2 linked regions of the Ovis aries genome follow. The protein of the gene in region 2 interacts with the protein of the main gene of each other region in a pairwise test. Links are inferred from orthologs where the notes say so. Each region holds a gene or a part of one and is shown on either strand. Other genes may lie near its edges. The genes, in order: ZNF830 and AQR.

Evidence for each region.
Region 1: the proteins of AQR (region 2) and ZNF830 interact in a two-hybrid assay, tested with the Homo sapiens proteins (2 studies listed by BioGRID and IntAct, with this or other methods). The link is inferred for Ovis aries from reciprocal best matches to the Homo sapiens genes AQR and ZNF830.

The regions. Positions count from the first base shown.
Region 1 is NC_056064.1:14,834,298-14,838,798, forward strand, and holds the start of ZNF830 (zinc finger protein 830), read right to left. Parts: upstream 2,904-4,501; 5' UTR 2,876-2,903; coding exon 1,754-2,875; 3' UTR 1-1,753. Other genes in the region: CCT6B (T-complex protein 1 subunit zeta-2), read left to right, coding at 3,067-3,203.
Region 2 is NC_056060.1:28,539,948-28,543,764, forward strand, and holds part of AQR (RNA helicase aquarius), read right to left. Parts: intron 900-3,817; coding exon 588-899; 3' UTR 1-587.

The sequences.
Region 1 (4,501 bases), on a different chromosome or scaffold from region 2:
CTCACATCCTGAAATAATATGATAAATGATAAAAAAATTCTAAGTCTGGGTTCATATATTTGATGCAGACATACCCTTTACATTATCAAACTGAAGTTACTGTCAGATCAGCGGGACACATCAGGAAAGCAAAGCCTTTTTGCCAAAGGCATAGGACAATTAAAATGCTCTGGAAGCATTTAGATAACTTCTTACAGGCACCCATACTAGAAAAACTCCAAACCCCTGAATTCCATCTGTATTTCTATTGTTCTTCACTTCTAGTCACTAAGATGTTAGCTCTTCCTATGAAATTCTTTAATTCTATTACCTTTTTTTCAGTACATACCTAGTTAGTCTTAGTTGCTTTGCTTTTAAAGTCTAGTTTCCAAGTAGTTTCCCAGCTTCCTGCCCCCTACCCATGTTCATTCCATTCTATATACTGCAACTAAAATAATCTTCCGTATTTTCTGCAGATGTAACTCTTGGCTTGAAAACTTTCTTTTTGCCCAGTGTCTGTAGGAAGAATTCTTTTGTTCAACATTCAAGGCTTTTTCATACCTTAACCCTGGACCTAAAACCTGGGCTTCAGGGAAATCAGACTGAGCTTATATAAATCACTTAGAACTCTGCCTGGCTTATACTGAAAGAAAGTCTTAGCTATTACCTCCTTCTTACAACTGATAGAACCTGTTAACTCTGAACCCTAATTTACCACAATATTTAACAATAAAATCTAAGATTAGGTGGAATATACATAAAACATAGTATTTCTGTTATGCGACAGTAAACTTGTGGGATTTGTCATTTAAAGAAATAAAAGGCTGGGAAAATGTAAATGTGTTCTGGATTTAGCACAGTGGTGCCCGAATTTTAGCCTTATTAGAATAATGGGAAGCTTGCTTTTTTTTTTGGCCAAGCCTCACAGCTTTCCCGGATCTTAGTTTCCTGATTAGGGTACCAGAGATTGAACCGGCGCCGGTTGCAGTGGAAGTGCAGACCCCTGACCACTGGACCATTTGGGAATTCTCACAGAAGCTGGGAAGCTATCAAAACTAATACAGGTGTCTGAGCCCCACTCTAGCTTTACTGAATCTCTTCAATGGTAGGGGCACATGAATTTTAAAAAAAGCTTCACACATGATTCACGTACACTTTTTAAAAAACTTTGCATGAAATTTTCATGTGCACCTACAACCAAGAATTACTGGTTTAATACAGAAACTCTGGATTAAGGTAGTTGATCATGCTTGGCATGTATTTTTCACTATGTTCTCTTGGAACATGGTTTTATAAAACAGAGAACTAATTAGTTCTGAATAACTTGTTATTCATGAGCAGTGTTCTTAAAAACAACAAAATAACCTTGAATTTGATTTAGGGAGTTGGAAAAGAACAAGTCATATATACCGCAAACGCCACACTTGGTTTTCATTTAAATGCTTGTCTGTTAGTCTGACTTCTATTAATTTATAAATTTCAAACCAGAATTCTTAAGTAAATATATATTTAGTATGTACAACATTTACAGTTTTTACAACCCAAACTTTAGCTATATAAGTGTGTGAAAAAACTGGCATTTAAGTATGTAATACTTCAAAAACACCTCTACCTCAAAAATATTTTACACCAATTTTCCAAAGTGGTCTCTTCGCAGGCTCATTGTATCTCAACAATCCAGTTAGGTTACCAAGTCTCTAAGCATGGAGTAAAGGGTACTGTACTGAGACAGCACTTTCTACACAACAGTACAAAATCGTGGGTCTCTGAAACCCTATAACAAAGCTCCCTTCACTCTCCAATCCTGAGACAATAAATCCTGTAGTTCCCCCTCGTCATCGCTGTCAACATTCTCCTCTTCCTTTTTCTGCAGTTCTTTTATGGTCAGAACCTCTTTAAGCTTATTTTTTATTTCATCCTGGCGATTCCGCAGCTTCTCCACTCGACGGTAACACTCAATCTGCTCATCGATCTCCCCAATCTGTCGGTCCAACCGTCCCTCCTCATCCTCTTCGGCAACTATGGCTTCGGAAATAGTGTTGACCTGTCTCATAGCTTTTTGAAATTCGTCCCATTCTTTGTCCATCTGGTCCTTTGGGGCATCAACCTTTCGTACCCTCGCATCTATCTCAGGGTCGTCAAAAAACCCTTCCGGTAATGCTTCCGCAGTGTTTTCTCTCCTTTCCACTACTTTTTCATGTATTTCTGCTTTCTCAATTGACCCGGAATGAGGGATTAAAGGGGCCTTGGGAGGATTTGTATCCGAGAAATTGCTTGGCAGCCTACTACCAGTTGCCTCCCGCGAGGAAGAGAGTGAGTGTTCCTTGCTCTGTGAATTGGACGGCTGCTTACAGGCATCCCCCTTCTTCCCTTCTCCTCTTCCTCCTCCCTCCTCCTCTTCCTCGTCCTCCTCGTCATCATAATCAGGGAGTAAACCGAGTCCCGAAGCCTTACCGACGGTCGCCCTAGTGGACTCCTTCCCGGCTTTGTCGAAGTTGGTGGGCAAAGCGGACGTGGAGGGCTGTACCTGAGGAACCAGGGAGGCCTTCGCTCTTTTGGCATCTTGGCTCTCAGAGTCCGGCGCCTTCCTCTTGGTGGACTGAGGCACTGCGGTGGCGGACGGGCCCTGGGCTGCTTCCTTCGCGCCTTTCAGCTCGGCCACTTTCTCTCGGTGCTGCTTTCCCAGGACGTGAGTCTGCCACAGGAGCTCGCTCTTAACCGGAGTGTTACACAGGGCACAACTCAGCTGCCCCAAGCGGTTGTACTTCGCGAATGGAGATTCTATCCGTTTCCGGTTGGTGCTCAGACGCTGTTTCTCCTTCATCAACCGCCTCAGTTCGTCCTGATTCACCACTCGCTTCCCCGCGGCAGGCCGAGCTGAGGCGGACGACGCCATCTTTGCGATCCGACCGGAGGCGATCCTTGCTTCCGTCCCGGCGACGCCTGATGACGTGACTTCCTGTCCAGACGCGGATTGGCTGAGGCTCCGGGACGTGAGCGGTGGCGCCCAGATTTCCTTTAGTAACGTATATCCCTTCAGTAACAGGCGATTTTTGCCTGTAGGGTCGCTTCACCGATATTCTGTTCATGGCTGCGATAAAGGCCATAAACTCCAAGGCTGAGGTGGCACGAGCCCAGGCGGCCTTGGCCGTCAATATATGCGCCGCCCGAGGGCTGCAGGATGTGTTGCGGACCAACTTGGGTCCCAAGGGCACCATGAAAATGTGAGACGGCCGTTGGAGCGGCGGTTAGGGCATCGGGGTTTGTTGGGCGTCGGGGCGCCCTGTGAGGCAGAGGTTCCGCAGTTTGGAGCGATGTGGACGCATTTGTGGGCCTGCTTTCCCTCGTTTTCATTCCTGCCCTGAGTTCATCTCCTGCCTGGTTGAGGAGGAGAAATGCTCCCCGAAGAAAGGGCTCACGAGTGAAGCGGCGACCACCCCCCGCCCCCACCCCCAACTTCTTGTTTAGGTTCATATGCAGTTAAAAGTTCATTCTGTGTCTGGAATGAAACATAAGCTCTCTAGCTCTCTTGCCTTTAAAGAGTTTGGGTTTTGTTTGGCAGTGTGCTGTAGTGGAGAGGGCTCGGGCTCTGGAGCTTGGCAGGCTTGGGTTCAAATCCAAGTTCTCCTTTAGATTTTAGGTCCTTAGGCAAGTTGAAAGCTCTGTGCATACGGTTCATCATATCTGTTCATCCTTTAGCATGTATTTATTTAGGACCATTATTTGCTTTAGAAGAGAGTGGGGATGGGAAAAAGACTTCCCTGGCTGTCTGCTGGTTAAGACTCCCGGCTTCCACTGCAGGGGGAGCGGTTAGATCCCTGGTGGGGGAACTAAAAGATCCGTCACGCCGCGTGGTGTGACCAGGAAAAAAAGAGTGAGGGGAAGAGACTAGTGAGGGCAATGATGAAGTGTAACAGGAGAGATACAGTCTCAGAAGAATGAGCAGAGTAATTAATATTAACAGTAAAAGAGGGCACTGATTATTTCTAGTTGGGATGCTGGGAATATAGAGATGACCAAGCTACAGTTTCTGTTCTTAAGGAGTTCTGGTAGAGATGAATGTGCTAATGGTTATATATATATATACACACACACACATATATGTATTAGCATATATTGTACTGAGGAAAGGGATTATAACTGATGACAGAAGGGAGAAAGGAAAGCTTCTCAAATAATAGAATTTCTCCTCAATCTTGAAAGAGGATTAGAGTTCACCAGTTAGAGAAGGGAGTAAAGGCCGTCTAGATAGAATAACTTCAGGACCAAGAAAGCCCAATGGTATAAATCCAACAGAAACGAAATCAAACATGATTTATTAAGGGAACCACACGATTTTCCCACAAGATCTCACTTGGTAGAAGAAGTAGAAAGGAATAGACATTCCCCAAATTGGGAAAGGTAAACTATGTCATTGTAAAATAGCTTGGATTTTACCTTGAAGGTGATGGAGAACATGAAAATTGTGGAAGGAATTTTTTTTTTTTCAGGTAGCTTACTGAATCACATTGTCTTTTAGAAA
Region 2 (3,817 bases):
GAATAAATAGACATTCTAGGTGACTCTAACACATTCTGAGGTCTGGGGGAAGGAAACACATGCCCTCTTTGATGGACTGGAGTAACCTATATCCTATAGAGTTAATGCCTTTCCACCAAGAAGACAGCAAAGAAATGAAGGACAGAAAGAAACATGATCTGATCATCTCACACTATGATAGAAGAAATGATTTCCTCCCCAATTTGGATACTTGCTTAAGGTCATTTATGGTTAATTCCAGTACATTTTATCCTTTTTTTTTAGAGAAGTTCACTAAAAATGTGAACTACTATTCCACACAAAATTCTTCTAATGTGGGTATGATTACAGACATAGTTAATGATCAAAATAGCAAAGGAATGGTTATTCACTCTTCTGATTGAACAAATAAAATTGGAGTTGTTCACACACATACATTCTTTTTTAATATATCCAAGAAGACAAACATTGACAATCAGCTAACAAAAATAAGGACTGAATATTCACCAGTGCCATTATAATGGCAGAAGCATATATAAAATACAAGAAGTAACTTTACCTACGACTTTGTTAATGAAATGTCCTCTCTAAGAAGGGCTACAGCTTGGCTACTCGGTTTCTCTGGGAGTGGATGTGACATTGTGAGGGGTGTTATTCTCCGCTGGTACAGTTACCAGTCCTGTGCCAGGGATCTCAGACTCAGCAGGAATAGCCTCTGGACTGGAGCTGGCTCCGGTCTGATCGGGGGTGGTTTCAGTCTCAGAGGCTGAGGTTTCCTGACTGGAGCTGGCATCTGTCGCTTTATCAGGTACAACGTCAGCTTGAGCAGGCATGGCCTCTTCTTCTGTTTCCAATTCTGTTTCCTGACTTTGAACTTCCTCACTTTCTTCTACCATAGCAGGTGGTAGCTGTAATAAAGTCTGATGAAGGAAAAAAAAGAGGGAAACATTAATGAATAATAATAATAAAAAAACCCACCTGGCTTATAAAGTTAGGCTCTCGCATTATCTTCCTAATAGATACTGTCACTCTAGAAAGCTCCAAAACACTGAGGGCTGTTTTATATTGCAGAGGTAACAACTCTGATGATAATGGCCTAGGTTTTGCTGATTCCATGGAATATGCTGACACAGATATCAGATAATAAGAAGATAATATATATTAAATCTTCGGGGAGAAAAACCAATATCAAAAGCAATTAAATTTTTTCATGAAGGAACTTATTATAAACACTGGAAAAGAGTGGCTGATTAGGACTGACTGGCACACCAACTCAAGAAAGGGCCCACTTCAATCAACGGGCGCTGTGAGGGTGAGGATGAACCAAGCCTTGAGACAAGGCTGGGAGAGAACAGCAGGCACAGGGCTTCTGTCCCACTTAACCGGAGCACTGGAGCAGCCCTATATACCCGGCTTCCCTTTCTAGAGCTAAGGCTTGGCTTCTTTCTTTAGGAATTTTGTTTCTCTTGTTGGAAACTGAAAAAAATTTAGAAGCATATTCACAATGGGAGCACAAAATGTGAAATACTTAGCGATAAAACTAACAACATATGTATGAAGGCTGCAGGCTGAAAGCTGCCAAACGCCGATGAGAGAATTCAAAGAAGACCTAAATATAGTGGAGAGGGATATCATACTCATGGGAAGGAAGACTAACTATTGTTATGTTAATTTCTCCCAAATTGATCCTAAGCAATAACACTCAAAAATCCTCATCAAAACCTCAGCATGCTTTTTTCTAGGGACTGAAAGAGATAGGCTGATTCAAAAATGTAAAGGGAAAAGCAAAGGAACTAGAATAGGCAAAAACATTTTGGAAAAGAACAACAAAACTGAAGGAGTCACACTACCATTATCATCATTTTGGCTGTAAGGTGTGGCATGCAATATCTTAGTTCCCTGACCAGTGATTGAACCTGTGCCCTTGGCAGTGAAAGCGTGGTGTCCTTCCTAACCACCGGACCACCAAGGGAATTTTCAGGACTCATATTATCTAATTTCAATATTTACTGTAAAGAAACTCTAAGAAAGATAGTGTAATGGCAAAAGGAAAGACACAAAGATCAATAGAGCAAGGCAGAAACCCAAAAATAAGACTCTCACATACACAGTCAATGAATTTTTTTTTTTCTACTAAGACCACAAGGTAAGATCTTAAAAGTTCTCAACATTAGAAAAAAAAAAGAAACATGTAACTTAGTGTGGCGAAGGATATTAACTAGATTTATTGTGGTGATTGTTTTGCAATGAATAGAAATTTCAAATCATTATTTTATACACCTGAAAGAAAATTAAGTGTCAATTAGATCTCAATTTGAAAAATTGCTTTTTTAATCTCAAAAAAAAAAAAAAAAGTCAGGTGAACAGAGGGAAAAAACAGCCTCCTCAGGAAATGGTGTTGAAACAACTGTATATTCACATGCAAATGAGAAAAATTCAACCCTTGCACCAAATAAATTAACTCACAATGTATCATACTTATAAATATATTAAAAAAAAAACTATAAAACTTCTAGAATGAAACACTGGAATAAAACCATAACTTTGGGTAATGCTAAATGCTTTTAGGACATAAAAAGCATGAATCACAAAGAAACAACTTGATATACTGGGACTTGAAAGACACCTAAAAATGAAAAAAAAAAAAAAAAGTCACAGACTAGGAAATATTTGTAAAAACAAACATCTGATGAGGAACTTGTAGTCAGATTAAAATTTAAAACTCTCAAAACTCCTTAATAATAAAACAACCCCAAAGAGTGAGAGATCTAAACAGACACATCCTCACAGAAGATATACAGAAGGCAAATAACCACGTGAAAAGATGGTCATCAACAGTTATTAGAGAAACGCTAATCAAAACCACAATGAGACCACTACATACCTACTGGAATGCTAAAATAAAGAAGACCAAGCATAGGTATGTGTGAGCACTCACACACTGCTGGTGGGAATATAAAATAGTACAATTCTGTAAGACTATATATAGTCAAAGCTATGGTTTTTCCAGTAGTCATGTATGGATGTAAGTTGGACCATAAAGAAGGTTGAGTGCCAAAGAATTGAACTGTGGTGCTACAGAAGACTCTTGAGAGTCCCTGGGATAGCAAGGAGATCAAACCAGTCAATCTTAAAGGAAATCAACCCTGAATGTTCACTGGAAGCTCTGATGCTGAAGTTCTAATACTTTGGCCACCTGATGTGAAGAGCCACTCATCAGAAAAGACCCTGATGCTGGGGAAGACTGAGGGCATGAGGAGAATAGGGTGACAGAGGATGAGATGGTTGCATGGCATCACTGACTCAACGGACATGAGTTTGAGCAAACTCCACAGGACAGTGAGGGACAGGGAAGCCTGGCGAGCTGCAGTCCACAGTGCTGCAGAGATGGATACGACTTAGCAACTGACCAACGACAACAACTTTGTAAGACAGGTGGGCAGTTTCCTAAAAGAAGTCGAATACATACTTCCCATACTACCCAACCATTCCACTCCTAGAAATTTACCAAAGAGAAGGTACAAAGACTTGTAGGAGAATGTTCATAGTAGTTTTATTTATAAGAGCCAATACTGGAGGCAAACCCAAATGTCCATCAATGATGCATGGGTAAACTTAGCATATCTGTATAATGGATTACTTACTCAACAATAAAAGGAAAAGGACTACTGATACATTCTGAAGTACAAATGAATATTAAAATAATGTTGAGCAATAACAGGTAGGGGAAAAAGAGTACACGTTGTTTGAGTCTCTTTCTATTAACATCTAAAATATGGTGACTAATTATTGTGACAGAAAGTAGATCCTCAGTTTCCTGGAGAAGGTGGAATAGGAA